4 separate regions of the Mus musculus genome follow, and regions 2, 3 and 4 are each reported to be linked to region 1. Evidence: microRNA targets listed by miRTarBase, many of them from high-throughput screens and not tested one by one. Region 1 holds a microRNA gene; each other region holds the end of a gene's coding sequence.
What was found. Region 1 holds the annotated microRNA mmu-let-7b-5p (UGAGGUAGUAGGUUGUGUGGUU, at 3,246-3,267, opposite strand). A microRNA usually pairs through its seed, bases 2 to 8, with sites in the 3' UTR of a target mRNA and lowers its output. Matches are read on the target gene's strand: a 7mer-m8 pairs with bases 2 to 8, a 7mer-A1 pairs with bases 2 to 7 and ends in A, and an 8mer does both.

Region 2: miRTarBase lists Unc80 as a target of mmu-let-7b-5p. The part of its 3' UTR that is shown has no 7-base or 8-base seed match.
Region 3: the mRNA of Cd164 is a reported target of mmu-let-7b-5p. Seed matches in the 3' UTR shown: 7mer-A1 at 4,598-4,604.
Region 4: the mRNA of Flna is a reported target of mmu-let-7b-5p. The part of its 3' UTR that is shown has no 7-base or 8-base seed match.

The regions. Positions count from the first base shown.
Region 1 is chr15:85,703,471-85,710,591 of GRCm38, reverse strand. Mirlet7b (microRNA let7b) reads right to left here and starts at 3,273; the gene lies at 3,189-3,273. It overlaps Lncppara (long noncoding RNA near Ppara), which reads right to left and starts at 6,819. Exons shown (of 2, transcript NR_110483.1): 1 at 6,302-6,819; 2 at 3,068-4,038. Mirlet7c-2 (microRNA let7c-2) reads right to left here and starts at 3,989; the gene lies at 3,895-3,989. Gm34622 (a long non-coding RNA gene) reads left to right here. Exons shown (of 3, transcript XR_384306.3): 3 at 607-1,721.
Region 2 is chr1:66,694,886-66,702,006 of GRCm38, reverse strand. It overlaps Unc80 (unc-80, NALCN activator), which reads right to left. Exons shown (of 65, transcript NM_001368824.1): 65 at 2,857-6,677. The coding sequence ends at 6,411. Rpe (ribulose-5-phosphate-3-epimerase) reads right to left here and starts at 1,176. Exons shown (of 6, transcript NM_025683.3): 1 at 979-1,176. The coding sequence starts at 1,100.
Region 3 is chr10:41,527,926-41,535,046 of GRCm38, reverse strand. Cd164 (CD164 antigen) reads right to left here. Exons shown (of 6, transcript NM_016898.2): 6 at 4,005-6,375. The coding sequence ends at 6,206. Among named protein-coding and RNA genes, the nearest start is that of Cd164, 12 kb to the right of the region's middle.
Region 4 is chrX:74,217,443-74,224,563 of GRCm38, forward strand. It overlaps Flna (filamin, alpha), which reads right to left. Exons shown (of 46, transcript NM_010227.3): 46 at 6,019-6,535. The coding sequence ends at 6,348. Among named protein-coding and RNA genes, the nearest start is that of Flna, 26 kb to the right of the region's middle.

The sequences.
Region 1 (7,121 bases):
AGCTTGGCCTCCACATAGGCCTTCCCTGACTTATCCTTGAACCCAAGGATGGCAGAGGCCAGAAGAGCCCCGCCACCCGCCCCCCCCTCCCGCCCCCATCACCACCTGAGTGGAGCAGAGGTTGGGCGGGGCGTGTGATCAGTTTGGTTGCTATGGTCTCCTGCTGCCACACGGTGTCGCTGCTGGGAAGCACACCACCCAGTGGAGGCGGTGGATGGGTCAGGAGCCTGACTGAAACAGGGCTGCCTTCCCAGAGCTGCCTCCAGAAATATTCCCCTGGGCCTAAGCTTGGCTTTTCTACAGCCTTCTGCACACACACACACACACACACACACACACACACACACACACACACACACACACCACAAATCCCCCCTGGTATGTGTCTGTCAGGAGTGGTGTAGGCAGATGTGTACAACCTCACAGGGACTCCTGCTGGGTCACTCTGCACAGGATTGGGTATCTTCCTCTTAGGAAGCAGTGAACGTGTGCCTGGGTTCACTCTATGAAACATAGTATGTATTAATACTGATCATCATACTATATGTAGCATTCATTATATATTACATATCTGATATTTGTGTTCAATTTTCTTTATTTTTAAAGGAAGTAAGGCTGTTTAGGGGCACTGACATCCTCGTGGGTCTCAGCTTCAAGCTGCTGGATATAGTTCTGTGACTCCTGAGACCCCCACCTCCGCCCTCCTGCCAGCTACTGCTGGCTCTGCCACTGCTACGGATGTCACCCCCAGGAGACCCTCTATCTCTGGAGAATCATCCCGGGTGGGGCAAGGATGTGCAAGTCTTGCTTCTGTAAGACTCAGCGAGGCTTCTGCATGCTGCCTGGGTTTCCAGCTGATGTGTGGAGCCCAGTTTCCATGTGTTGGGGCCACCCAAGGTCCAGCCTGCTCTCCTCGCTGGTCTTGAACTACCTTGTCCTCAAAGACACTTATGCACATCGTGATAACAGTCCCAGCCTGCCCGGAGGGTTGTATCCTAGGACCTCCAGCCTGCAGCATCTCCTTGGCTCCTGATTAACAACCCCAGGAGTCACTTCTTAGATTAGCCAGCAGGTGGCAGCAGAAGGCCGGCCAGGGACCAGGACCTTCCTGGGTACTTTCCCTGAGGCACAATCTGGGGTGCCCTTGAATCCTGACTCCACCCTCTAAGTGGAAGTGTTTTGCTTCCTTTGTAGGTTGTGGAAGTGGGGAAGTGAGCACAGGGTCTCCCTGGGCTGAACCACTCCCCTGCACCCCAGAACTTCCACTCTGCTGAATGCTGTGTCGTACCCACCCTGATCCCCACATGCACCCCTATCTCTAGTGACAGTCAGTTGTCAGAGAAGAGCCAACAGAATGTAGAGAGGGGCACAGGACATGTCAGAGGTCATCTTCCAGGAAGCTACCCTGACTGCAGAGCACCTCAGAGCTCTCGGATGCTCCCACGCTACCCCACTGGGTGGTCGCCGTGTGTCCTGTCCTGTGTCCCTAGTACTTGAACTCTGCAGAGCAGAGGCCATCTCCCACTGCAGCATAGGAGCCAGGAGGTGGGTGTGACTGGCCAGCATGTCATTCTGCTTGCACAGACACAGCTGGCTGTGGTAGCCAGAGGGTGGGCCTGTGTGAGGGTGAAGGGTTGGGGGCTGGGCTGTGCAGAAGAGTATGGAAGGTAGGCTGTGTGATGGTTTGTATATGCTTGGTCCAGGGAGTGGCACTATTAGGAGGTGTGGCCTTGTTAGGGGAAGTATGTCATTGTGGATATGGGTTTTAAGACCCTCACTCTAGCTCCCTGGAAGCCAGTCTTCTCCTGTTTGCCTTCGGAACAAGATGTAGAACTCTCAGCTCTTCCTATGTCATGGTATTCTTCTGCCATGATGATAATGGACTGAGCCTCTGAACCTGTAAGCCAGCCCCAATTAAATGTTGTCCTTATAGGAGTTGCCTTGGTCATGGCATCTGCTCACAGCAGTAAAACCTTAACTAATTCAGCAAGGGATGAAGAGTGGGCAAAGCTCTGCACAAGGGAGGGGAGGAAGGACTACTCCTCTAGGGCTGGAGGCATAGCAAGAGTCAACAGACTTCACCACTGACTACAGGATAAAGAGAGGTAAAAAGGTGACAATTTATCATCCACCATCGATGTTCCAAAGGACAGCAGGGAGGAGACAATGGGGCATGCCACGGAGTGTCTGAGTGTCCACTCCTGTGTCTCTAGCTGCCAACTCCTATACAGCCATCAAGACCCAGCTCAGATAGCCCCTACTTTGGGAAGCCATCCCTGTTGCTCTCAGAGAGTACTCAGAGAGTCCCTCTGGGTACTCTCAACCCTGGGGCTAGCACAGTATCAGATCTTTGGAAATGGCTGGCTAAGTTTGAGAGGTCTGGTAGCTGAGGGTGGATATAGAGGGGCTCTAGGGGTGTTTGGTCTGCCTAGGTGCGTCAATGGAGGTGTGTGGATATGCAGAGTTGAGGCAGATTGGGTTCAGGACGGGAGCTGGGACTCGGGGGATTCATTATGGGGAGAAGGCCAGGACATCAGGGTCAAGGTATCCACCCACGAGGGAGGCCTTTGGTGTCTGGTCAGGTAAGACTAGGACTTTACCTTCCTAAGCTAACACTAGCTGAGGGCTGACCCTCACCCCACTACCACCACCTGAATGAAGGCTTGGGGTCCCTGGAAGAAGGGTATATGACCATTTGGCCCAAGATTAGAAAGCTACATCCACAGCCGTCCCAATACTGTCCCAAGGGAGGCAGGCACGAAGGGACAATAGGCCAGGAATTTCTCAGATCTGGTTAGGACCACAGGCTGAGGGACACTGGAAGCCAGTACTGTGCTCTGAGACTTGGAGTCATAGGGTCTGTTGTTCCACTCATGTGGAGGGGCTTGGGTGTCCAGGGCTTGGGCCACTAAGGGGCACATGGAAGATGAGGGGAGGGTACTGTTCACTACCCAGAGCAGCTCTTGCTGGCAATGTTTCATGCATGCAAACGTGTCAATGTGTGGTTGGCGATCTCATGTCCTCTACGGCCAGTCTCCGTATTTCCAAAATGACCAAAGACCAGTTGTAAGTTCATGACAGAACATCCTTTATTTATACCCAGGTCCCACGTCATAGCCCCCACCCAATCTGTGGCTCCATTTAGCTTGCTGAGCGGGGGCCTCCATGTAGCTGTGTCCCTGGGCGCCTCAGGGAAGGCAGTAGGTTGTATAGTTATCTTCGGAGGGGCAACATCACTGCCCTGAAACCACACAACCTACTACCTCACCCTGCGGTGTCCGTGTTCTGGAGGAGGCCCAGCCGCTCCCCACCCACCCTGGCCACAGGCCACTAGAGCCATAGGGCACAGGGCGGGGTGGGGGAGGGGGAAGTGGAGACAGAGGTTCAGTGAGAAAGGCCTGTGCCTACCAAACAGATTGAGGAAGCCTCTGGTGTCTGAACCCATTGCCCCAGGGACAGGGGACAGTGGCCTACACGGTCCATCTGCAGGCTGTACTCATGGGTGTGCTAAGAATGGCTCCTTTTCAATTTCTTCTCGGAAGAGACGCTTGCTCGTCAGAGGCCTGACCCTGCGCTGGAAAGCCTGGGCAACTCTGGAACATAGTTGAAGGTCTAGTCCAGACCCTCTTTTCATGGAGACCTGTGAGCACAGGTCTGATATGGGGCCAGGGGCAGGAAGGCCCCTTCAGTGTGGGCCAGGGAGAGAAGGTGCCCTGAAAATGCTGTCTGTTTTCATCGCTATGCCCCAACCCTTATACAGATGAGTAACAGCCCAGAGAGGTCAAGGGACTATCCAAGGTCTCTGTCAGGCTCTTTTTGCATGGTAGTTATCACCCCCCTGTCCCTCCCTCAGTCTCCCCAGCCAGGGCCGCCGTTGTATCCACTGCAGATATTGCGGCCACTTCAGGAAAGACAGTAGATTGTATAGTTACCGCAGAGCGGGGCAGAGCCCAAAACCATACAACCTACTACCTCACCCCAAAGGCCGTCAGTCAGTCTTGGCGTAGAGCTGGATGTTGTGGCTTCTTGAGGTCCCTCCTAGAGGAAGAAGGAGAGCTGGGGACATGGTGAGCCCCACCCCCCACCCCCGACACAGGCCGCTCAGTGCTGAGGGTATTAATAGACTGGGATTTTCTCAAAATGGGCCAGGGACATTTAAACAAAATCACAGAGAGAGTAAGGGGAGACGGGGAGACGGGGAAACGGGGAGAAGAGAGAGAAAGCACGGGGCACTGAGCACAGGAATGGCCACAATGGGGGAAGGGTGTCATTTGTTAAAGGCCACCAAGGTCCAGGGTGCTTCCAGTGTCCACCTGGCTGAGACCCAGCCTCTGTCCACTCAACTCTAGCGTAGTAGAATCACCAGGACTCCTGCTAAGTAGTAGCCTTGGGCATGTACCCTCTTCCCCTTAGGCAGGAAGAGCCCCCCCCTCGTGGGCTCTGGTTCTGTCCCTCCCTCTTCTCAGGGTGGCCTGAGCTGACCTTGCTGGGGGAGGCTCAAAACAGTCTTTCCTTGTGGGAGGCAGCCTAACTCCCCATGGTGGCCAGCCGGGCGCAAGTGCAGACCCTGGCTGGACACTCATGGCCAGTCTGTCCCTAACGACTAGCACTTCCAGAGGCCAGCAGAGATCGCTGAAGAAACTGAGGCTCAGTCTCTGGTCTCAGGTAGCTCTGCTCTCAGAAGGGAAAAAGACCTGCTTCTTTCAGGCCTCAGACCGGTTTGCCCAGCATGTGGAGGGAAGCCCTGTGCCCAGACCTAGGAAGCCAGGCAGCTTTTGCTCTCTGCATGAGCCCTAGCGTCTACTGTCACGCCTCCTTTCCTCTCTGCCAAGGGTCAAGGGACAAGTCCAAAACTCCTGGGTCAAAATGAAGCCGTTAGGTCTAAGTCCACATTGTGGCCCCAGATCCGGAGTCTATGGGGCAGAGGAGCTTAGGAACAAGGTTCCCAGAGCGCTGGTGTGGCCTGGCCCGTGGTGGGCAGGCCTGTGATGATAGGAAACACTAATCTTCCAAGCCCCAGAAGGAAATCTGAGCCACTGGGGTGCCATCCCCTGCCTCAAGCCTGGACCCTTTCACTAACAGGCAGGTCAAATACCCTCAAGGATGGTCCCTGCAGAGGCAGCAAGGCAGAAGAGGCGTGGGAAGAGAGTGGTGAAGGGCCCCTTTGGTGATCCTATCTATGATGGGTGGCCCAGGTGAGAAGGCTGAGGGGTGTCCCACACTGCTTAGCCTCTCTGTAGGCTTGACTGGCCATGGTTAATCTCGTCGGTTCTTAGGCTGTGCCCGGATGTGGTGGAATAGCTAGAGACCACATTGGTCATCTCCATCTGAGCCCAGCACCTCCCTCCCCCTCTCCGCCCCCAGAAGCACTTTGAAGGAGGAAAGAGGTCAGACATCAACCCCAGGTCTCTCAACACTTCGGGTTCTGCCCTTGGCTGTCAGGATACAAGTACGTGGGCAGGTCTGGCTGGAAGGTCGAGACTGGCCCCTCTGACTCTGGGCACCATCATGCATTTCCGTGGGGTCCTTTTGGCTGGCCCCTGGGGATTCTCAGCCACTCTACTTAGCAGCAGGAGGCCGGTGTATGCCACTGTGTCAGCCCCAAAGCGCCTTTTCTGCACTTGGTGAGCCTCCCTGAATCTGGGCTTCATTGCAACAGAAGCCTTGCAGAGCCCAAGCTATGGTAGAGAAACACCAGGACACAAGCACCCTAGTTCTAGCAAGGACAGTGGGCCACCACGCACTGTGCCTTAGCCCAACACGGGAACAGATGTGCCTCTGTCTCCCTCATCTGGCCTTTCTCTAGGCAAGACCTTCTGGCAGATCCTCCATTGATACCAAGTGGCCTGGCCTGGGGGAAGCAGGATCACACTGGGGGGATTAAGTGATGGTGCCCGGGGTACAGAGAAAAGAGAGGGACCTCATGCTGAGGTCCCCAGAGGTCTCTCAGGGCTCGGTGACCTTGTCCTCAGGTTGGGAGGCTACGTCTCTTCCACTTGGAGCTGGTGATGAATGGAACTGCACCTCTGTTAAGCCATGCCCAGTCTAAGTAGGCCGATACGGGGTCAAAAGTCACCATATCATATCATGGGTAGATGTGTCATCTGGGGTAGATTGCTGGGGGGTGGGGTGGGGCACAATACTGAGGGCAGGGGTTGGGGGGAGCACAAAGCCTCTAGGTAAAGACATCTAAGCTGAGGGCAGGTCCTGGAGCACTGGCAGGGATGTGCCTCTGACCCTAGCCTTCCTTACTCTCAAGTCTCCCTACTTTCCAGAGGAAGGACATTGGGGCCCTACTTACCACAGGGAAGCCATAGGCATGCAGAACTTCCTGCTTGGTTCCACTTCCTGACCACCTTGGGGGTTAGAAACAAAAGCAATGATCATCAACTTCAGAAGGGAGAAAGCCTGGCCCCTGGTGGCCTCCCCTGGCCACTCCTTAAGATCCTATAGCACAATGGCATTTTCATCCAGTCTGCCTTTTGCCTGGTGACACTTTGCATGCAAAGCCTTGGATGGAACGGCCTCTAAGCTCAGCCCTGTGCTGGGCATGTGGGTCAGAGACTATGCTCCAACTTCACCCATGGTGGGCAAGCGTGTTTTTGTGGGTGGCCAGTGGCCCGCGTGCAACTTCCCTAGGACATAGGGCAAATGGGGCTTGAACTCTCCCAAAGAGCAGAGACCCAGAGAAAGGGCTCACTGGACTACAGACTCACACCATGAATCAAGTCACTATCCTACCTCCCTCGGGCCCAAATCATCATGGCAGAGCCATTAGTAAGACAGAAGGAAGGCCAAGCAGGGACATGGGGACAGTGAGGGAGAAGCCTGGCCAGCTGAAGGGCTCTGGAGCTGAGCCTGGGGTACAGAATATGGAGACAAGGATCTGCCCACTTCTGTCCGTCAAGCCGGAGTGCTTTGTTGCAGGCCTTGTTAACACCCCCCTCCCCCAACCACGACTCAAGGATGGGAAGATGAGCCCATTGGCTACTGAGGGTCTGGTGAGGACACACAGGGTGGGAAAGCCCCCTCCCTGACTACCAGCCTCGCATGGGCTCCCAAGACAGCCGAGCTATCTGTCACGCTGACACCCTTTCTCGGATCCTTCCCACTGCGCCCAT
Region 2 (7,121 bases), not on the chromosome of region 1:
ACCTTGTCTCAAAAAAACCAGAAAGAACAGCAAAACCTCCAACAAGAAACGAAACTGATGTAAATAACACATATTTGCCAATGTGACTGAGGGCAAACAGATTTTGCTTATTTGAAATAAATTTATTTTTCTATCTCACTCCCAAGGTCTTTTATAATTTTATGTAAACTTTCGGTGGGAAATGCTAGTCAAAAAGCCAAGAAGATTCAAGTTCCAAGTCTGTCACAATCTTCTGTAATCTTGAGCAAGTCCTCCAGCCTCCTTTGGGTCTAGGTTTGTTTCCTCACTTTAGAACCAACTTAGGAAACTTGTACCCTGATTCTGAGCATTATAACTACAGTGCTTAAAAATTACTTACAAAAAAACTGACCTCCCTGAAGAGCAGGGTGCCTGAAGAGAAAATAGACAGGAAAATCAGAATTCGAATGGGTTATTCGATACAACTAACAACTGCAGAGAATCTGTTACACGCCAGGCACTGGACTTGCTCGTTTCAAGTTCCCCAAGACGCGGAAGCGTTCTATGATCAATAATCCTTCCATTTTCCTCACACTGAACCCGAGTCCCAATCAAGGCTGAAGCGGCTTGCCTAAGACAAGTCGGCAAGTGGTCGAACTCCGGAAGCCCATCCAGGTGTCAAGCTGAGGCTGTCTGCCGGCTTTGTCGAGAACTAGTTAGTTATCTGAGTTCGATCGAGCAAGTCGCGCCTGTCCCGTTGGGCCTCAGTTTCTCTACGAGTTCACCAGAGGAAGATCCTGAACACTGGAGGTGGCTCCCGGGTCCTATCACCACAGGTTACGGGGTGGCGGGGAAAGGACCGGGCCCCAAAGTCAGCCAGGGCCGGCTCGGTGCCCTCGGCAGCGCGCTTGGCCAGGCAGCCCGTCGTCGCACAGGGGCGCCGTGCACCCAACAGGCGCTCGCTGAGGTGCAGCGACGCCGACCCGCGCGGCCAGCCCGCCCCGAGCCCCGCGGAGTTACCCGTCCATTACATCCAGGTGCAGGTAGTCGGCCCCCGAGTCCAGCATGCGCAGGCACTCGGCCCCCAGGTTGGCCAGGTCGCTGTTGAGGATGGACGGGCCGATCTTGCAGCCCGACGCCATGGTGCCGGTTCCCTAGAGCGAGTGAGCCCACGAGAGCCCGGGCCAGCCAAGACTCCGTCCCGATTGGGCGCGCCGCACTGGCTCCGCCCCCTCCCACCTCGCACTCTCTTCCGGACTCTGCCGGAAGCAGCTGCCCTGCGGCGAGGAAGTCCCGCCTCCTCCTGGGGGGGGGGCGTCAGCTGGCTGGCTAGGGGCGGAGCCAGGTGCAGAGCTTCTGCCTTCTGTCTTGGATTTCCAAGGATCTTCTGGCTTCTTTTCCTTTTGAAAGGGAAAATAGTTTATTGAGTACAATGTAAGAAGTTCTACGGGTTGATCAGCTAGACTACCACCTACAATGTAGGAAATTTGTTTTTATTTTTTTCTCTGTTTCATACACGTATAGCATATATTGTGATCATATTCAACCCCATTACCCTTTCTTACCCCAGCCACTCCTCCTGACCCCTTCTTCCCAATTAACTCCTCTCCTACTTAAATAACTTCACCTCACGTGTCTGTAGGTTTTGTGCAGGGAGCCACAGTTGCTTATGCAATCATTAATTGCAGCATTCCGTTGAACTTCCCCCACCCTCTGTCTCTTACAGTCCTCTCTTCTGAGATGTTCCTTAGTCAAGCTGCTGATAACTGGTGACTGCTGAGTACTCAGTGTAGGAATTTTTGCAGTAGCTGAAAGTATAACGTAAAAACAAAATTCTAGGCCTTTAGGCCCAGGCATGGGAATGTGACCTCTGTGACTTAATGATGCTAATCATAAAACAGATAGCGACATTCCTCCACCCACCCGCTTCCTGGGTTCAAAGAGTGTTCATTCAAAGAAAGTCACCCTGACCATTGCTATGCAAATGTGCTATTGTTAGGGGCTCTTAGAAACTGTCTTGAGAGATAACTGGAACAATTACCAGGTATTCCTTGTGACTCTTGTGACTTTGCACTTCCTTGGGACTCTTAACTGGTATCTTTGGTATTTTCCAACAAAGCCCTCCCCACTTCCTTGAGTTGTGGTTTCTTCCTTTAAATACCTCCTTACCCAGCTAATCGGTGTGCCACAGACCTCTACCCCTGCGTGGTGTATGACCGTGGGCCCGAGAGCCCTCTTGAATAAGTTTGCAGTAAGACCGTTTCTTGTGTGATTTGGGGTGTCGCCTCTCCTGAGTCAGAACGTGGGGGAGTCCTCACGTTGTGGGTCTTTCATAGCCAGTCTGATAGAGTTGCTATCCAGCCATAATTCTTGAAATGGATAAGTGGCGTAATGTCAAACGTATCCAGAGTCTGGGCCAGGAAAAAATGAAAAGGTACATGAAGATACACGTGGATAGAACAAGAGCAATTCCTAAAGAACAAGGATAGGGCTCTCATAGTTTTATTAAAAGCATGCTGGTAATTTAGATGCCATGGTTTCTGCAGGGGACACAGTTAGAAGACAATAGTCTTTAATATTCTGACTTGGGGATATACCAGCATTCCGGGTCATAATCCGGGCAGTGAAGTCAATTTGGCTTGCTGTCTTCCATATCTACATTTTGCTTTATTTTGAAAGATAGAAGATGAGAAACAGAAGTAGGTAGGTATCAAATATGGCGGTAGAGGGACTGGGGGTGTTTACCCATTAGTGACTTTAAGCTAAAAATGGCTTTAGGCTTCCACTTTAGAGTGGAAGTCTGAAGAACAAGAGATGAAGGAAGGCACAGACCAGGTCTTGAAAAATGATCCTGAATGAGCTATCCCATTCCCAATGGAAAGAAGTGAAATTAGAGCACATTAAATGATCTTAGATTTATTTTATTATATGTGCATATTCAAACACAGAAATCATTAGCTTTCATAAATATCTTTCATAAACATCTCAGTATTTATTCAGATGCATTTTCCATGCTCTTTGGTCATTCAGTATTCATAACAGACTTTATAGTCATCTGAAGGAAGTTGGCTGTGTAGTCAATCCTTTGTCTTCACCTACAAAATGGCTAATAAAGGACTTTAATCCCATGGTCACAGTGACTATTAAAAATATCATGGAGGTACGTAGATTTATGATCCTAAATGATCTTTAAATAATATAAGTAAATTTATCATAAACTTTTCCAAATACATTCTGCCCTCTATTTGTGTTTATTCTCCTGAGTGTCAGATCAAAGTTTGCTTCTAAAATGCTGCAGTTGAGACCCACAAAAATAAATGAGGAAGTGGGCTAGTTTACTCACTGCTGAGACACAAGGCCATGGATTGGTAGTGTGAGGTCACAGAGTGAAAGTGGGACTCTATGTGACAGCAGCAAATTCGGGAAAGTTCTCTGGTAAAGTATCCTGTGTAACTCAAGGAAGGTACTTAGTTCATGTTTTGGACTATAATTCTATTCATTTATGACCTTTTCTTCCCTATGGATCTCAGTACACACTCAATTATTTCCTCGGAAACTCTAGGAGTGGGCAGCAAAGTGGAGAAAGTTCTTCACTGACTAAAAGAACAGATGCTAAAAGAGAGATGCCATCCTGGCTTAAGTTACTCTTGGAGGCTTGAAGCAGAAAACCAACAGATGCCTCCAGCACTGCCATGTGCCCAGTGGTACCCCTTGACAGTGTTGTTCTCAGTGACTTGTTCCAACGCACTCAGTAACTCACTTCCCTTGTCATAAGAATCAAATAATCTAATAGAATTATAGAAAACACTGAATGCTGCGAATGAAAGAAAAATGTCTATTCTAGAAAATTCTGCATCCAGGATTTAAGCTGCTTTAATCTGGATAGTACACATGGGTACTCACTATCATGGATGATGTATTTTTATTTCTCAAGGTTTCTCTATAAAGTTGCTTTCCAAAGGAGCAATTTTAATTGGATGTAATTGTTTAATACCTGGAAAGTGGGTGCCTGTTTTATCCTTCCTCTGAATGAGATAAATATTATTAAGCATCACAGATTAAGATATAATCTAATTTTACTAATATATTGATCAAAAGTGATAATTAGTTCTTGTCACATTTTTGAATATTACAAAAGATTGTCAATTAACTTGAACTTTTATCTTAACTGTTTTCTTTAAGTTATTCCTTCAAACTCCAGGTAACAGTATTCCTGAGAATACATCTTGTGACAGTCTTATGCACATACATATACTTTAGTTACCACACATAAACATTCAACACGTTTAAGGACACAATAAATGGAATAGATGAGAAATCTCAAAAGTCCCAAGACGAGAGCACTCCCACTCTGTAAGTCCCCATTTCTCAGAGTGGTCATGTCTTTTCTTTTTTCCAAGATAAAACATTACTTAGCTTACTGAAAAAGTTAATAATAGACTTCCATACACGAGAGTGAAGGAGTCAGATTAAAAGGCAGACAGACCAATAAAATCATTTCTCAAACAGCCCAACACACTTAAAATATATAAAGGTATTTAGGGTTATTATTGAGTATTTAACAATTCTTTGACCTCTATACTTCTTAAATATCTGACACAATTATAGAGATTTTGAATCACAAGTCCAAAAGAGGGAACAAAGCACAGACATATAAACGCACACAACTCAGACACTTGTAATTACCAAACATAAGGCCTCTAATGCTAGTTGAGCAGCATAGTTTTTAACAGGCAAAATATATCAGCTTAGAACCAGAAAACCACTTACATGTCCACTTTTGCACTTAGAAATGAACTGCACATTAAGTATAAATGATGTGAAGGTGTTATAACACAGAGAAGGTTTGTTTGTCTCCTGGATTTCCCATGCATGTTCTCAGCCAAAAGGCCAAGAAGGTGGTTCTGCCCTGATTTTCTGACCTGGGGGATTTTAAATTTTATCCTAGTTAACTTATAGGTTACCTTTCATTCTCATGGTGAATGGGATCATAGCCCCAAAATATATTTGATTTTATAAGTCACTGTGCTCATTTAATAAATAATTCTAACATAAAAATCGTTTCCTTTATTATTTGTATGGGTTTATAGGTATTTTCTTTATAGTATACATTTTATAGCCAACATAGTCAATATTTAAGCATATAGAATATATTTTAAACTCATCTCAACATAATCAAAATCTCTGTTTAACTTCTACATGAAGACTAACACACACACACACACACACATCGATGTAGGTATGTTATGAGATTTTTTTCAGGGTTTAGTAGTTACATTTCTCTAATGTAAACTGCTAAACTTTTGAAAAATGTTTATGAACTGCATGATGTCCAGCCCTTCAATAATCGACTAAGTACTGGCCTGACAAGCCTTTCAAATTTTATTCTTTTTTTTTTTGAAGTAACTGCACTTTAAGTTAAAGCCCTATTTGTAATATATACAAGCTGTCTGAGTCTATAAAGAAATTGATTACTCTGACTTTCCTTCATTAACTGTGATCTCCTAAGGATCATAGAATATTTGACAACTGAGAAAAAGTTAATTTCTGATCTAGTTCTAACAATTTAACTTTAATGTATGAAAATACGCCCTCAGGGGCAGGCACAAGGACAGCAAGGGAAAGCAATCCTCTTTCCCAATAGGTCCTAATCCGAACGGTGATGTCATCATGGGTAGAATTAGGAATGCCATCTCTTTCAAGCAAAGCTATTTACATTTAGCTTTTTCATAATTGTATAGCTGTCTATGTTATTAATTCAGAATCATATCTGAGATTCTAGATATTCTCTGTCTAATACAGTAGATATGAAATGGAATGATATGTGGCATTAGAATTTTGATTTATAGGATGTAGTGAAAGGACAGTTAAAAAATAAATTTTGAAAAGTCCACGGCTCTAAAAATAGTACGTTTTTTTTTTAAATAACCAGCTATATTATTGACCCAAACAAAAATGGCTGCAGGGTTTATAGTTTAGTTTCTAATTATTTTTCTTGCTGGTTGTTTATATGTAAATTTCTATGTATATAGCCACCTAATGTAAAATTTTGAAACTACAAAAATAAACATTGTTGTGAGATGTATAATGTGAGTATCTTAAGAGACTGTATTCCCTTTTAGAACTTATCAGTATTATGAGGGCAGTAATATTAAATATTCTTAACTGTCTGTAGTAGTATATTCTTAGCTGCTCAAAGCAAGCTATACACAGTGTGCAGTGAGACGGCTCTTCCCTTTGTTCTTCCCTGTTACAGTCTTCACACAACTAAAGACTTTTAGCTATTGATTTTTAAGATGTTTTTGAAACATTAGGAGTTTTGGCAGCAAAATACACTCAGACTTAATGCCACCCACAGGCTATAAAGTGCTGTTTTAGAATTAATAATTTTCATCAGAAGCATTCTATCGTCAGCAGTCTTCTGTAGAGTGCAGAGCTCCTGTGATACAGAACTAAACGTGGGACTCATCTAGTGCTGAGTCTGTGTCTCCCAGCTCGGGAGGAGTGAAAGTGAACTGGCTGGACAGCAGGGGATTCTCCGTGCCGTTCTCCTCACTGATATGAAGGACAGTGTCTCCATGCTGTAGGAGGCTGGATGTTTCAAGGCCAGTGAAGTCATCCGGGTCTGACAGTTGAGTGGAGAGGGGGCAGTGAGCTGTGGCACCTTGTATTTCTTCGTCCTCCTTTTTCTCTCCTTCTTCAGCAAGAAGGGGCTCACTCTGTGATCAAAAGGATCATAATATCATGGACAAGTAGGATGGGTACCAGAAAAGAACATAAAAACTTCTGCATGGCTCTAACTGGACAAGAAATCAAAGGTGAATTTCAGGCTATGTCATAGGCTTTCAAAGCATTGGTTTTCTACCCTTTGACATAGTGTTTGGGGTTTTTTTTGGGGGTGGGGTGGGGGGAGGAAACATGCTTATAGACTATAAAAATGAACCAATTCAAGTGATGTGTTACACTTCTTTTAACTATAAAAGACTATGCAAATGTGTATATTAATATTACCATTTAGGTTTTAAAAATAGTGCATCAGAATATGATACTTATGGAAATTCATTTATATAAGCACAAGAAAATAATATTAAAACAATGGGGGAAAGTTTTAAGTCCGTCTGATCTTTAGGACATAGAAAACTACGTAAAGACTCCATTGATGC
Region 3 (7,121 bases), not on the chromosome of region 1:
TGGTGGAGACTAGAAGACCAGAATGCCACTGCAAATGACTACAGTAATGCCTGGGCTCACGAGGTTTCAGAGGGTAATAAGGACTCTACTGGCAACTGAGCTAGAAGTCATTCATGTTACCATTCTGGCAGAGAATCTGGCTGCTGAAGAACTGAAGAATGAGGCTGAGTTAAAAGGTAATGAAGTAAGTTATCCTAGTTCTTGATCTGTTTGCTGTGAAGAGACACCATGACCGAGGCAGCTTATAAAAGCAAGCACTTAACTGGGATATTGCTTACAGTTTCAGAGGGGGAGTCTATTATCATCATGTTGGCGGGAGCATGGCAGCAGGCAAGCAGGTACGGTGCTGGAGCAGTAGCTGAGGGCTTACATCTGATCCACAACCAACAGTCAGAGAAAGAGAAAAGGCCTTGGCCTAATGTAGGCCTTTGAAATCTCAAAGCCTACCTCCTTCAACAAGGCCACACCTCCTAATCACCAACTGGGAACCAAACATGTATGAGTGAGTCTATGAGGGCCACTCTCATTCAAACCACTACAAGCTGTTTAGCAGTGGGAATTTCAAAACACCTTAACACCTAGGCTGTCAAATGACTCCTGCTTACTACTCTTTCTACAGTGAGAATGAGCAGAATATAAAAAAAATATAGTTTGTCAAGAAAAGGTATGTGACCAAATTAAAGACGCAAACAAGTTTGGTACAAAGAGAGCAGCTATAATGCCCTTAAGAGATTAGTGCTGCAAGAGAAATCTCATGTTCTGAACTGGGACAACAGGAATGGAGCTCTGAAAGCAAGACACACACACCCCCCCCTCTCCCATGATGACTCTACTTTGTGAAAATGCAAATTCATCTGAAGGGAGAGAACTTGATGTGAGAATGCTGCTAAAGGAGTTCCCTGCTGGAAGGTAACTTAGATTGAGGTTTGAGCTGTGGTAGAAAGGGGACAGACTCGATCTCAAGCTAGAGCAGAACTTAGTAGCACTCTCTACATAGCACTGGTTTTGCAGACAAGCAAAATGCAAGTTCTATGGTCATGAAGGCCCATCCAACGTCCAAGGAAGCCATGGAGGCCAGGCAATGCATGTGAAGGCCAGATTACCAGCAAAGAGACTGAGAAGCCACTGTGTGAAACTGTAAAGAAGATTAAGTTGCAGCAGAGACCTGCTCTATTTTCCTGTTACTGAGATTAAATTCAAAAAGGCAATTTGGGAGAGAGGATTTGACTTACAACTTCCAGGTCATGTCCCATCATTAAGAAAAAATAAAGGCATGAACCTGATGCATAAGCCATGGAAGAATATTGCTTGCTGGCTTGTTCTCAGGTTCATGATTACTTAGCTTTCTTATATAGCCAGGGCCATCTGCCCAGAGAATGGTGCTGCCCATAGTGGACTGGGACCTTCTATATCAATTTAGACATTCTCTCAATTGAGACTCCCTTCTCAGGTGACTCTAGGCTGTGTCAAGTTGACAGTTTAAGTAGGACAAGACTCCATTATACAGCCATTTCCTGAGTTAAAACACCCCATTGGTAGAATGAGCCTCCCTAAGACACAAGAAGTTCCAACTTGTTTCATCCTAGAGCAGCAGTTCTCAACCTATGGGTTGCAACCCCTTTGGGAGTCAAATGACCCTTTCACAGGAGTCACGTATCAGATACCCTGCCAATGAGATATTTGCATTATGATCCCTAACAGTAGCACAACTATATTTATAAAGTAGCAATAACATTTTATTATGGTTGGGTGTCAGGAACTGTATGAAGGGTTGAACTAGGGAACCACTGTGCTACAGGGAAGCTCCTAAGGAACCAACTCACGAGTCTCAGTGAGTTCCTGGAAGCAGCTCCATCTGTAGAGGACTGGGGACTGTGGAGAAGGCTGCTGCAGGGTCAGAAGCTACCTACCCATGTTGGGCTAGCTCTACACCTGTAACAGCCATTCCATGCTGTGTTAGAACATCCCCGTGACTAGTAAAAACCTTTTGGCATCTACAAACTAAGAACGTCATCAAATAGCATCTTGGACCTATACAAAAGCGTCCCCATCTCACTGTAACCACTGTTCTAATATACCCACCATACTGCATTTTAAACTTGCCTTCAGTACCAGTTTCTTTATTCTGCAAAAATTCTCAAACAGCTTCCATGTTGGACCATGGAATTTGGGGTAACCTAAATCTGTTGTTTCCCAGCCATGGTCACTCAAAATGGCTCTAGAATAAACTTGTATTCCCTTTAGATGACCTGCAACAACATTTAATATATGAGGTAATAGGCAAAACAAGATCCAGCCCCCTGTCCTTAATTGCTGGGGAGCCCAGACAGAAATCAGAGTACTTGCAGAATTCAAGAGGCAGAGGAGACAATCAAGAGATGCAGGAAGCTGCTGAAGTTCCCATTGCAATAGACCAGAAGCTGAAGCGACACTTAACACGCTTCAGAAAAGCAGTAAGAACAGGAATACAAGACCAACCTGTACCTCCCAAACTTGTATCTGTCATCCAGTAAGAATTTACCAAGCATGCATCCAAACCATCCTATAGTGTGGGTAAAAAATTCAATGGAAAGTAAATGCTAAATGTTGGAATAGCAATGCTATGGAGACATTAAAAATTACTATAATAAAACCAAGCATTCACACACAACTACAAAACAACTATGTAGAGAAACACACCAACATATTACATCAACTACAGACATACCAGAAAACACGATAGAATTCAAAGGGGGGAATTTTAATTAATTTCATATAAAGCCCCAATGGGACTATGAATCAATTTCTAGCAATCTCTATAAAACTATAATCTCCATCAAGGCAGAGGGTGTAGACCTACCACTGAAAGTTGGAAATCTTCCAAATATGAAAGTCAGAGATACAACACCTTAATAGATCTATAAACAAACACAAACAAAACAAAAAACCCAAAAAACAAGGAAAACTACAACACAGCCCATAATAGTCAATTTGCTTAAAATCAGTAACAGAAGAAAACACGTACAGAACCAGAGATGCTAACAGACTTGTTATAGAACACAACTGAAACAATGGGCTAAAGTTTATAGATATGTATGACAAAAAATAAACAAACAAACAAAAAACCTTAGATTCCACATTCAAAATTCTTTTAAAAAAAAGTGATTTACTACCAATGATGTATCATGAATACAATGGTTTTTGCACTGAAAACAAAATACAATTGAAGTCAGGAGGCAAGATATACAAAAGCTGGATTTACCAACAGACACACTAACAAAAAACCAAACACTAGTGAATTAGAAAGTGCCAATACATACCCTTTGAAAAACAAGTACCCAAGGGCTACCTACAGCAAGTACACAGAATGGGGAGAACACACAAAACCTATCCCACCCTCTACTATTTACTCAATAACCTATGTCAATGTCTTAGGAAGCTTGCTATAAAGTTTTATGTAATTGCCAAATGATAAGGCTAACAGGGAACAAGAGGCAAAGCAGTGAATCCAACCTTTCATCCAGACTTGCAGGGGAGCAGTGAACAACTTTAGTGTAACTCAAGTAATCAAATATAGATGTTCCTGCACACGGTCCAACAGAACCAGACTCCACAGCAGCACATGACACGCTAATCAGAAGCAAAGTTTTACTCCCTATGTACTCAGAACTAAAGGGTAGGATGTAGCTGGCAAGATGGCTCAGTGGAAAAGGGTACTTGTCCAACAACCTGTGTTCAATCCTTGGGACCCACAAAGTTGAAAGAACAACAGGCTCCACAAAAGTAGTCCTGTGACACACTCTCTCACTCACTCTCTCTTGGTTAATGTGAGCTAGACGCATGCCCCTTCCATCAGCCCAACCATCAATCATTCCCATGGTTCTGTTCTCCACTAATTCACAGCCATTAGTTCCCATCTATATACCAGTCTACAGGAACAAAAGAAACAATGGACAACCCAGCCTCAAATGGACAGGTAAGGCAAACACAATGTTAATTTCATAATCAAAATATGACACTTTTGATCAAGAGACTAATAAACATTTATTTTAAATCAGTTTGGTACACATACATATTAGTTTTGTAGTTTAAGGAACTCAAATAGAAACTTCTAAGTCCAGCAGTGTCTGCTTGTGCAGCAAGTATGGCAAAGGTAAAATAAGGTATTTGATAGAACTAGATCCTCAGGACAAATCAGATGAAAACTCTGAAAAGGCTTTTATATACCTTCTGGATTAAAAAACCCAAAATCATTAATGGCTCAAAATACCTTGCTAAAGAAAGATGGTGAAGAGTCAGGGCAGCAGTGAATTCTGTGGCAAGAGCTTTTGTAGAGACTTGCAAAATGTCACTAACTTCCTACAATGTTAGAGCAGTGCTCAAAATTTCAGGAGCTTCAAATTAAGTTACATTCTTAGAAAACTTGCTACATATGCTGACATTTATATGGGGCAAGGAGTCACATGGAGGTAAATGACAAACCAATTTTGCCACCTTTATAAGGAATGGAAATTCTGTGTACTTTTAAAAGAACTTTAGCACTCACTTAAAACTAACAGCTACAGCACTGAAATAGATTTTTGTGAGGAACCTAGAAATTACAATGGAAACATAACTGTGAGGTAAACCTATCTTTCCCCAAAAACCTTTGAAGTCAGAGTTTAAACAAGTAAGGCACTTGAAAACATTAGATATATGTACAAATGTGCAAGTGAAACAAACTAGCTGTACCAGCAAGTGACAAAGAGATAGATTCATTAGTTTCACTTTATGAACCAGCCCACAGCAATCCGCTGTTTCGTATATAAACCCTGGGAACCAAGCGCTGAACTCTGTAACCAAATGAAAGCCCCAAACTTGAATGGCACAGGAAACCAAAAGCCTATTTCCAATTACAGCCTCTAGACGTGTGCAGTGTGTCAGAGGCAAGGGAGAAGTAACTCCAAAACTGAAAACTTAGTGCTTTCAGAAGCAACTGAAGTAAAAGTCTGCATGATTATAATGATAGCACATGGGAACTGAAACCAAGGAGGAAGAAAAGAAGTAAAGGCCCAAGGAAGAGAAAAGCCTATTCAGCCAGGGTATCGTCATTGGAAATCTAGAGCAACCTCTCTCAAACCCTCAGATTTTTTAAGTTACACAGGTCACATCTATTAGAAAACAAAGTGATTGTCTCATTTAAAGAACTAGAAAATGATTCTATCTACAACTACTTCCTTCTTGCCTCATGTAAAAGCCACTTTTCAAGAAAACCTGGTAGGAATCCTTAAGGTATAATATTTGGATACTTTGTGTACAGAGAGAAAGATAAATCAATTTTATGTCTAGTTTAACAGCCCTAAGAAAAATGTTAGATGGTTTGATATAAGGAAGCCTTTCAGCTCTAATTATTCTTTAGCTTCTATTTCTCAGCTCTAGAAAAAACAATGCTTTTAATTAAATATTAACAGTATGTTATCTATAAGCAGATTTCTGCTGCTCACATCAACAGTTACATTCTCAGACCAAGCTTTGCCTCCCACAGTGTGAACACATTTTTCACGACGTCTCAGTCTGTCTTAAGGCACTGTTCTGATTTCTTAATACGGTACACTTTATGAGTATGAACAAGACCTGTTGCAGATTAATGTCTGTGTATCCTTTCTTTAATCTAAATCTGGATTGCCCTGTGTGGCATCTTATTTCTAATATATAAAATACAACTTGTCAAGCATAAAAATTTACTCTAGGGATAGTTTAGTGCTAAACAAATTTAATCTATGTTTGAAGTGATGGCCCTCAATCTGCCTGACGGGTGGTCATTTGGCACTCTTCTCAATTCTGGCCACCAAGTTACACCTGGAACTAGGATGAGAATAACAGCCTTTAGGATTCTAGGGGACTACATTTCAACTGCAGTCAGAAGCTGCCTACACAGGACAGCACTCTCCACCACTTACAGAAGTTACATTTGGCATGTCAGAGGAAAAAACAGTCCCACAGCAGCAGCCATGGTAAACAAAGACGACAGCCACACGGATTCATGCAGAATATTTTAAATATTCCTGATGAACTAAATGGTTTAACTGACTTTTCTTCGAGGATGATGCTCCAAAATATCCTGTATGCATCCTTTGGAAAGGTAAAGATCCTGGAACAGCGTCTTCCATGTGGGACTTCTTCAATATTTTGGTTTCAGTGAGTTGCACAAGTTAACTGCCAGTCCACATTAATTTAACAGGTCTGTTTACAGAGTATGGTAATTTCGTTCTTTAGATTTGCAGAACTTATAGAGAAAGAAAATTACAGCCTGCACACCCAAGACAAGGACGATCCCTCCAATGAAGCTGGCTGCATCAAAGGTCGACTTCCGCTCAGGCTGGGAGGTTGGAGTCAGTGTGGTATTTGTTGTCCCTGCTATGATGATAAACAAAGAATCCTCAGTAAGTATCATGGTATTTATAATTCCCAGACCCCCCAGGCATCAACTGTGCTCCGAGTTATATTCTATACAGGTCTTCCTGAGTCATGTCTTCATAACTAGAATTTATCTCCACTTAAGGCAGAATGCCATCCATCATTCTGTCCAGGACATGATAAGGGTAATACTGCTACAAAGTTTCAAATAGGTAAGAGCTTTTATGGCATATAAACTGTCCCCTTGAAAACTTATCAAATACTTCTAAAACATGCGATAATTTTGTTAATCTACTTTGGTTAATTGTTAAAATAAATGCTTGTTAAAACTTTTTGGTTTTACTAGATAGACAAGGTATTTAAAAATTGAGTTGCTGTTTTTCAAGTTAACAACAAAAATAATAATCTATAATTTCAAAAAACAAAATAACACATAGTTGTAAATATATTCAATAGCATTCTGCTAGTTTATTTTGCATCATGAGAAAGCATTATATAGCCATAAGAAAAACAAATTTGAAAACTAGAATTCCTACAAACAACTCATAAGAAGCTAAAAGTAATGTCAGTTTAATCAATCAGAAGACCATGGAAACTAACGTTACTAAGGGAGTAATATGTTTCAATAGGAAACAAAAAGGCTATGACTGTGTTCAACATTTAAATAAAGTACACTTCACTGTTAAACTAGATCCGAGTCGCTGGGCGTGGTGACGCACGCCTTTAATCCCAGCACTCGGGAGGCA
Region 4 (7,121 bases), not on the chromosome of region 1:
ACTTTTTTTCTGGCAATTTTTTCAATGACTTGCTCTAAAAATATGCATGCTGGAAGGCAGCTTGATAATTTCCACTAGACTCACACATCCACTCCCACATGAACTAGCAACCACTATAAGGAAGAAATGGAACTATGACTCTGCAAAAACATATAGGTGAATGTTTAACCCTGAATTCTTGTGTAGTTTAAAAGTTGAAATGAACCGGGCATGGTGGCGCACACCTTTAATCCCAGCACTCGAGAGGCAGAGACAGGTGGATTTCTGAGTTCGAAGCCAGCCTGGTCTACAGAGTAAGTTCCAGGACAGCCAGGGCTACACAGAGAAACCCTGTCTCGAAAAAAAAAAAAAGTTGAAATGAAGGTTTAAGGATGTAGTTTTAGTTAATAGAGTACTTGCCTAACATGCATGAAACCCTGAGCTCAATCCCTGGCCCTGCATAAATTGGGCATGGTGGCAGGGCAAATGCCTATAATTCCAGCACTCCAGAAGTGGATGAAGAAGGGTCAGATGTTCACGACCATATTCAACTCTATAGTGAGTTCCAGACCAGACTTGGATAGTTGATATCTTGTCTCCAAAAAAATTGAAAAACAAAACTCTGGCCCTTTAACTGCTCAAACTGTGGTTCACCCAAATGTGAATTATTGTACAGCATCGAAAGGGAAAATTATTGATAAAAGCAACAGTGGTCTCTTGAAAGCATCAAATTGAACAAAAACAAGACTCCTGTTGAGGGTTGTAGGCTACATGGGTACACTGATGGCAACACTCTTCCAGTGACTAAACTCAAAACCCTGAACAGGAAGTAGTTTACACACATTGACATGGGTTGTCAGGAAGAGGCAGAGTCTATAGGACTATAGTTGTTGATGATAGTCTAGAGTCAACAGGAGGGATCCTTCAGCTAAGGAGGCCTATGTCCTAGCTGGGGTAGTGAAAAAGACCCATGTGGTAAGTAGGCCCAACACAAGCACTTAGATACTTTGTAGGCACAACACAAGCACAAACATTTAAGAGTTCAAGGAGCTGTTATTTTTAACAGCTGGGTATGGAACCCAAGACACCGTTTTTGGTTTTGGTCTTGGTTTTTCAACCAAGACACTGTTAATACTAGGCCAGTACTCTAACACTGATTGAGTACATCCCCAGTCCTTAGAGTCTGATAGCCACACTGAGGTCAGCCAAGAAGCCCAGCCCAGAGTGAAGCCAATGCCAGAAAGAGCCACAGGCCTCTTGGATGCCTCTGGGCAACTTCCAGTAAATCTGTGGTTTGTACATGTAATCATAGCTATGTGAGTGGCTGAGGCAAAGGAACACAAGTGTGAGACCTTCCTGAAGTAAATGACATCTAAGAATGCAGGCGGTAAAAGGAGGATTGAGCGGGTTGTTGTTGTTTGGGAGTTGGGTGTTTTGTTTTGTTTTTCGAGACAGGGTTTCTCTGTGTAACCTTGGCATATCTGCTTGACTCTGCTTTCTTAGTGCTGGTATTAAAGGTGTGCACCACCACCATCTGGATTGTTTTGTTATTAGCAGGGGATATAAGCAGCATTCTTGCAAGCATCCCAGCACTAAAAAGAGGGGAGAGGGAATGGATGGAATATACTGAAGCCTCATGTTATGGGGTCTATTTAAATGCAACATAACTCAAACACCAGACTTGGGAGCTGAACGTTGCATGGCCTATTTTAAAGATGAAACCATTAAGAGTGGGTGTGGTGAGGGGTGGCATTGTTCAGTAATATTTTGACATAAGGGTTGAACAAGAGAGTTTCCATCAATCAGGATAGTAGTTGGTTCCTTGGCCTAAGAACATGAATTTAGTATGGTTCTGACAGCAAGATAGAGAAGTCGTCCTTGAGATGTCTGGACTCAGATAACTGTTTTCTTACAAGAGAAGTTGTTCAACTATTGGGAAGTTCCTAGCTCTCATAGGGCCTGGGACCTTGAGTTTAGTTTCTCCCTATGATTAAATGGAATCTGAAAATGAAATGGTAGTACTTGAATAAGTTCCTTTTCTTTGTTCCCAACATTCAGAAGTGCAGAAAGCCACATCTGAGGACTAAAACCTCCCGATACGAAGACAGCAGTGGCCAGGACAAGCAATGGGACAGTTAATTGGGCAGAAAAGGCATCCGTCGTGGGAGGGTGGCAGGACTTCCGTGGCGGACTTGGTTTCTTATTGGTGGAGCTAGTCAGCCTCAGAGAAAAGTGGAGAAATTCCTTTGTAGAGCTCAGCCTCCGAGGTAAAAGCAGGGCGGGGTCGGTCACGTTTGGCAATGCCTTCTGAGTCGCAGGCGGTGTTCTTAACCTTTTGGGAGGTGTTAATTCCTTCCCTGGCGAAACCTTTCTCAAGGGCCAAGGCACTGGCAACCTTGTAGATGCAGGTCTGCTGATTCTCTTTCCCCACAAAACTCATTCTGAGAGGTAATTAGGCCCTGAAGGTCCCCAAAAGAGTTATTTTCTCACTATGTCAGCTGGGCCTGGGGATCTGCTCTGATCTGGGTGTTGTGGAGAAAGAACATACTGGCTCTATTTGGGAGGACCAGGAGGCAACCATGGAGGACACTGGCCTACACTGCCTTGTCTCTGGTAATCCTTAGCAGGCACCATGACTCAAACTGGTGTCCTCTTCCTTCACCTTCCAGTCTTGGGACCCTGGTTGATTCCCCTCCTGCCACCCAGCTGAGTCTTCTTTCCTCTCCTTCAGGCCCCAGTTGCCAGGCATGTACCTGGACATTTGTTCCTCCACTGACTTCTATAGCCCTTACCCCCACCCCCAGATGTCTGTGGCCTCTATGGGCTATTTCCCAAATCACCTGCTGCTTATCCCCTCTGTTCTATTCCCAGCCTTGGCCTGGGCCAGCCCTCTAGAAGCCCAAGGGGCTACTGGTCAGTTCCTGGTAGGGTTTAAACGCTGTGACCCCACTGCTTCAGGGAGCTCTGCTGAAGGCATTGTCCCCCTTTCCTTATGGGAGTGGGTGGGGTTTTGAGCAGAGTGCTGGGCTGTCAGGCTGACTAAGGGAGGAGAAATGGTCAGCTGGGCCTGCCCCCTTGTAGTGAGAATTTTCATTTCTTTAAAACCCCAGTTATGTTATGCGAATATGGTTTGGTTTTGTTTTTATTGGATATTTTATTTATTTACACTTCAAATGTTATCCCCTTTGCGGATATCAACCGATATGGTTTTGCTTTAATCCCAGGTATAGGATAGGGGGCTGCTTAGAATTGCCCACAGCTACTAACTAGAATTGTCTTGTGCTCTAGGAGGGGCATGATTTTTGAAGATAGTATATATAGTATATGCTTGGGACTCTGAAGACTCTTGAGAGGGTATAAGTGCAAGAGCCCCAAGCAGGTTGTGGTGGCTGCCGCGCTCCCCGTGCTGCTGCTGCTGCTGCTGCTGCTGCTGCTGCTGCTGCTGCTGCTGCTGCTGCTGCTGCTTTTTCTATTGCTATGGCTATCTATGGCTATGGCTGCTGCTATGGATTGCTGGATTGCTGGTTGGAGATACCCTAATGAGACAGCTTCCCCTTCTACATAGCTAGCATTGGCTTGCCCCAAGGAGCCTGACACTCATAATCAGCAGGAAGTAGTCTGAAGATGTCTATGCCCTCTTTCCCCTCTAACCCTCTTTCTCTCCCATCTAGTACTGGGGGGCTGGAAGGGTGGTAAATATAAAAACCTAATAAAGTAGCCCAAAGAAGTACACCTCAACCCCTGCTTTGCCCTGCCCTGAGTCCGGCCTGAACTTGCAGTCTCTGGGCCCTGCTTCCAGCTGGAGTTAACAAACCCATTTCCCTTCTTGGTCTCACTGGGTGGGAGGACAGGCTATGGAGGGCATTTAGCCACGTGACCTTGACTTCTGTGACCTAGGCTTCTGGTGCCTGTTGGCCAACAGAGCCAGGGCATAGCATCACTTGTGGTTGCACATTTCCACCCCACTGCAGATTCTAGGCCATGTGGCCTGGCTGGGCAGTCAGCTGAGGAGGTCACAAAGATGCACCTGGCCTGCTTCTTCCTGGTAGCCTCCAAAACCTCCTGTATTTCCTGTATGGCTGGGTCTTTTCCAGAATGGAATAAGTGGGGCTAGAGAGATGGCTCAGTGTTTGAGAGCACTTGCTTCTCTTCCACAAGACCCAGAATTGATTGATACCCAGCATCCATATTATGGTGGCTCACAACCCAGACCCAGGAGAGCCAATGCCCCATTCAGGCTTCTGTAGGCACCAGGCATGGATGTGGTGCACAGACATATGCAGGCAGATACTTATACACATAAAATAGCTCATTCTTTTTAAAGGACCCATTTGGGATGGTAGGCATACTTGTGGGTGTCATATGCCTGGCTCCTGACCAGTATGGGGCACCCATCTCTTTTCCTTTTGCCTCCCTGGCCATATATCTTCCAGTTCACTGCCTGGAGCCTCTGACCGGGTATACTCAGAAGCCTGTCCCATCCGCAGTCAGACGTCTTCTGCTCACCACCACCCCTACAGCCCAGGTGTCTTAGCACCCTGTATAGGATTTAGAGGCAAGGAGACAGGGACCCCTGCTTAACCCAACTCAGCCTTGGACAGTGACTCCCCTGAGTAACTTTGCCAGGCATTGGCTTGAGAAGAGGATGTGAAGGGGAGCCTGTGTAGGCAGAACTGGTGCCAGGACTGGGTAAGAGGCTCTGGGTGATTTCAGGGCATGGGTGTCCAGGGTGCAGAATCCTAGCTATGTAGAAGGGGAAGCTGTCTCATTCCTCCTCTGTTAGAGCTGTGCCTCTTTGGACTTGCCTTTGCTACCTTTTGTCCCCTGTGCAGGTGGGCAGCTTCTGAAGGCTCCCAGAGTGTTGGCCCCTCCTCTCTATCCTGGCTGTTGAACAACAATAATACCAATGGACTAAGGGAAGGACTTTTATCTAGTTGCCTCTGCCGGTCTCCTCGCCAGTGTCTTCCTTATGTGACTGGCAGATTCACAAAGTGAAGATCCAATGTATATCTGTTTCTACCTGGTACCAGTGTTGCAGGTTGCAGAATCTTCCAGAGTCATGGGACTGAACTATTAGCTCAGTAATACAGTCCTTTCTCCCTTGTGTTCTTAAATGCCTAAGCTTTGGCAAAGTCCTTTGAAGTCTTACCTGGCAGAATTTCAGCATAGGCCATGGCAAGTAATCAAGTACTAGGAGCTGAGAGAAGATTATGACCCTTCCTGGCCCTCACCTACAGATGAGTTAAGTCATGGCACTGAACCTAAGAGACATGCCTATGGCTTGATCAGTTTCAAGGAGATATCCTAGCCATTTGCAGGTTTCATTGGGAGCTGGGCCTTAGGACATTAATTTTGCCTCTAAAGGACCTAATGGTGCAGAAAGGAGTTATTGATCCACTGTACTTACTTATAGCAAGGAGGCGCAATGACAAGTCCCATTTAAAGATAGAGATAGGTCCATTAAGAATACCTAGGACCAGAGTAGTGTGCTTACCTCAAGAGTGGGTACCACCACCCCCTTCACTGATAGACAAGATATCTACCCTGTTGTGGGAAGGGGAATTTGTAATGGTGTCTTATTTAAAGGGTTCATAGCAAGCCAGGCATGGTGGTTCACCCTTTAATCCCAGCACTTGGGAGGCAGAGACCACCTCTGTGAGTTTGAGGCCAGCTTGACCTACCCAATGAGTTCCAGTCTATTCAAGGCTACATAATGAGACCCTGTCTGGAAAAAAAAAACCTAAAATAAATAAAAGCGCTGGTATCATGTTCATGATATGTAAGAAATGGCTATGCCCTGATGCTATTTCAAAGACTGTTCACTATTAGGGATCACCAACAAGCTAGCAACGAATCTTCATGCCCTACATTTTGACTGCTTGATCCCATATGCCATTCTAGGCACACCGTATATCCCCCTCTGTGAAGCAAAAGATCAAGTACAAACTGTGCTACTCAGAGGTCCCATGGCCTATGTTTTTTGCCTTGTTGGTGCCCTTGCTAGTTTGGCCTTCCATTACTCCTTCCATGAAAGCTACATTCACAGGACAACGGAAGCAAAATTTTATTCCTCTTGGCTGGGAAAGAGAACTAGAAGGTGGTTGTACATAGGACTTCCACCTCCCAGAACCAAAGAAGACATGCTCTGCCACCAAATGGCTCCCTCTGCCCAAGTGAAAGCCCAGAGACAGGTGAACACAGTGCAGGGCAAGGGCGAATGCAGTGAAGAGCGGCCAGAGTGATCCAGGGAAGGGAGGGTCCAGGGCTCAGGAAAGGAAAATGGGGCTTCTTGGGAATAGGACAGGTGTGGGGATGCTCATTGCCATGGGAGCTTCTAGCTGGCACAGGTGCCAACTTAGGTGGCAGGCTCAGGGTACCATAATGCGGTATGGGCTGCCTGGGATATGCTCATCACCCCACTTGACCACCAGTGTGTACTCCCCTTTGTCCTTGAGCAGGTAAGAGACACTATAGAGGCGGCTGCCCATGTGTTTCACCAGGATCTCTTCACAGGGTGTCCTTGGGCCATGCACGCCCACCAGCAGCATGTTGTTACCTAAGGCAGGAATAGGTCTCAGTGGCCTTAGATCCTTTCTTTGTCTATAATTGCTCTGAGCCCTTCTCACTATTCCACATTCTGTTCCTTGCCTGATTATTAACATTCCCAAGCAAGCATCTCATACCCCAGCCTTGCCACCCAGACCACCAGAGGATAAATTACAGCTCCTCCAGGACATTGGTGTTTTGCCTGCATGTATATCTGTGTAAGAAAATAGAGGAGGAAGGAGAAGCCACCATGAGCTGGAGTCAAGGGCCCTGAGAGCTGCCCAATTGGAGTTAAGAGCAACCCAAATGAAACATAGTAAGTAATAACTTGGGGTTATCCATAGGAAAATAAATTCTAACAACATAGAGAGTAGTATCTGCCAAGCTCTTGTATTGTTTAAGGCTTACTGTAAATATAAAGATCATGTGTGTTTTTAATCTGAGAACTAATCTAAGGTGGGGTAGAAACCCTGGGTAAAACAGTAGGGATTAAATAATTTCTACAACAGATCCCATGAAACTGGAATTACAGACAGTTGTGAGCTGCCATGTGGGTGCTGTGACTTGAACCCCAGTCCTCTGAAAACTGCTGAGCC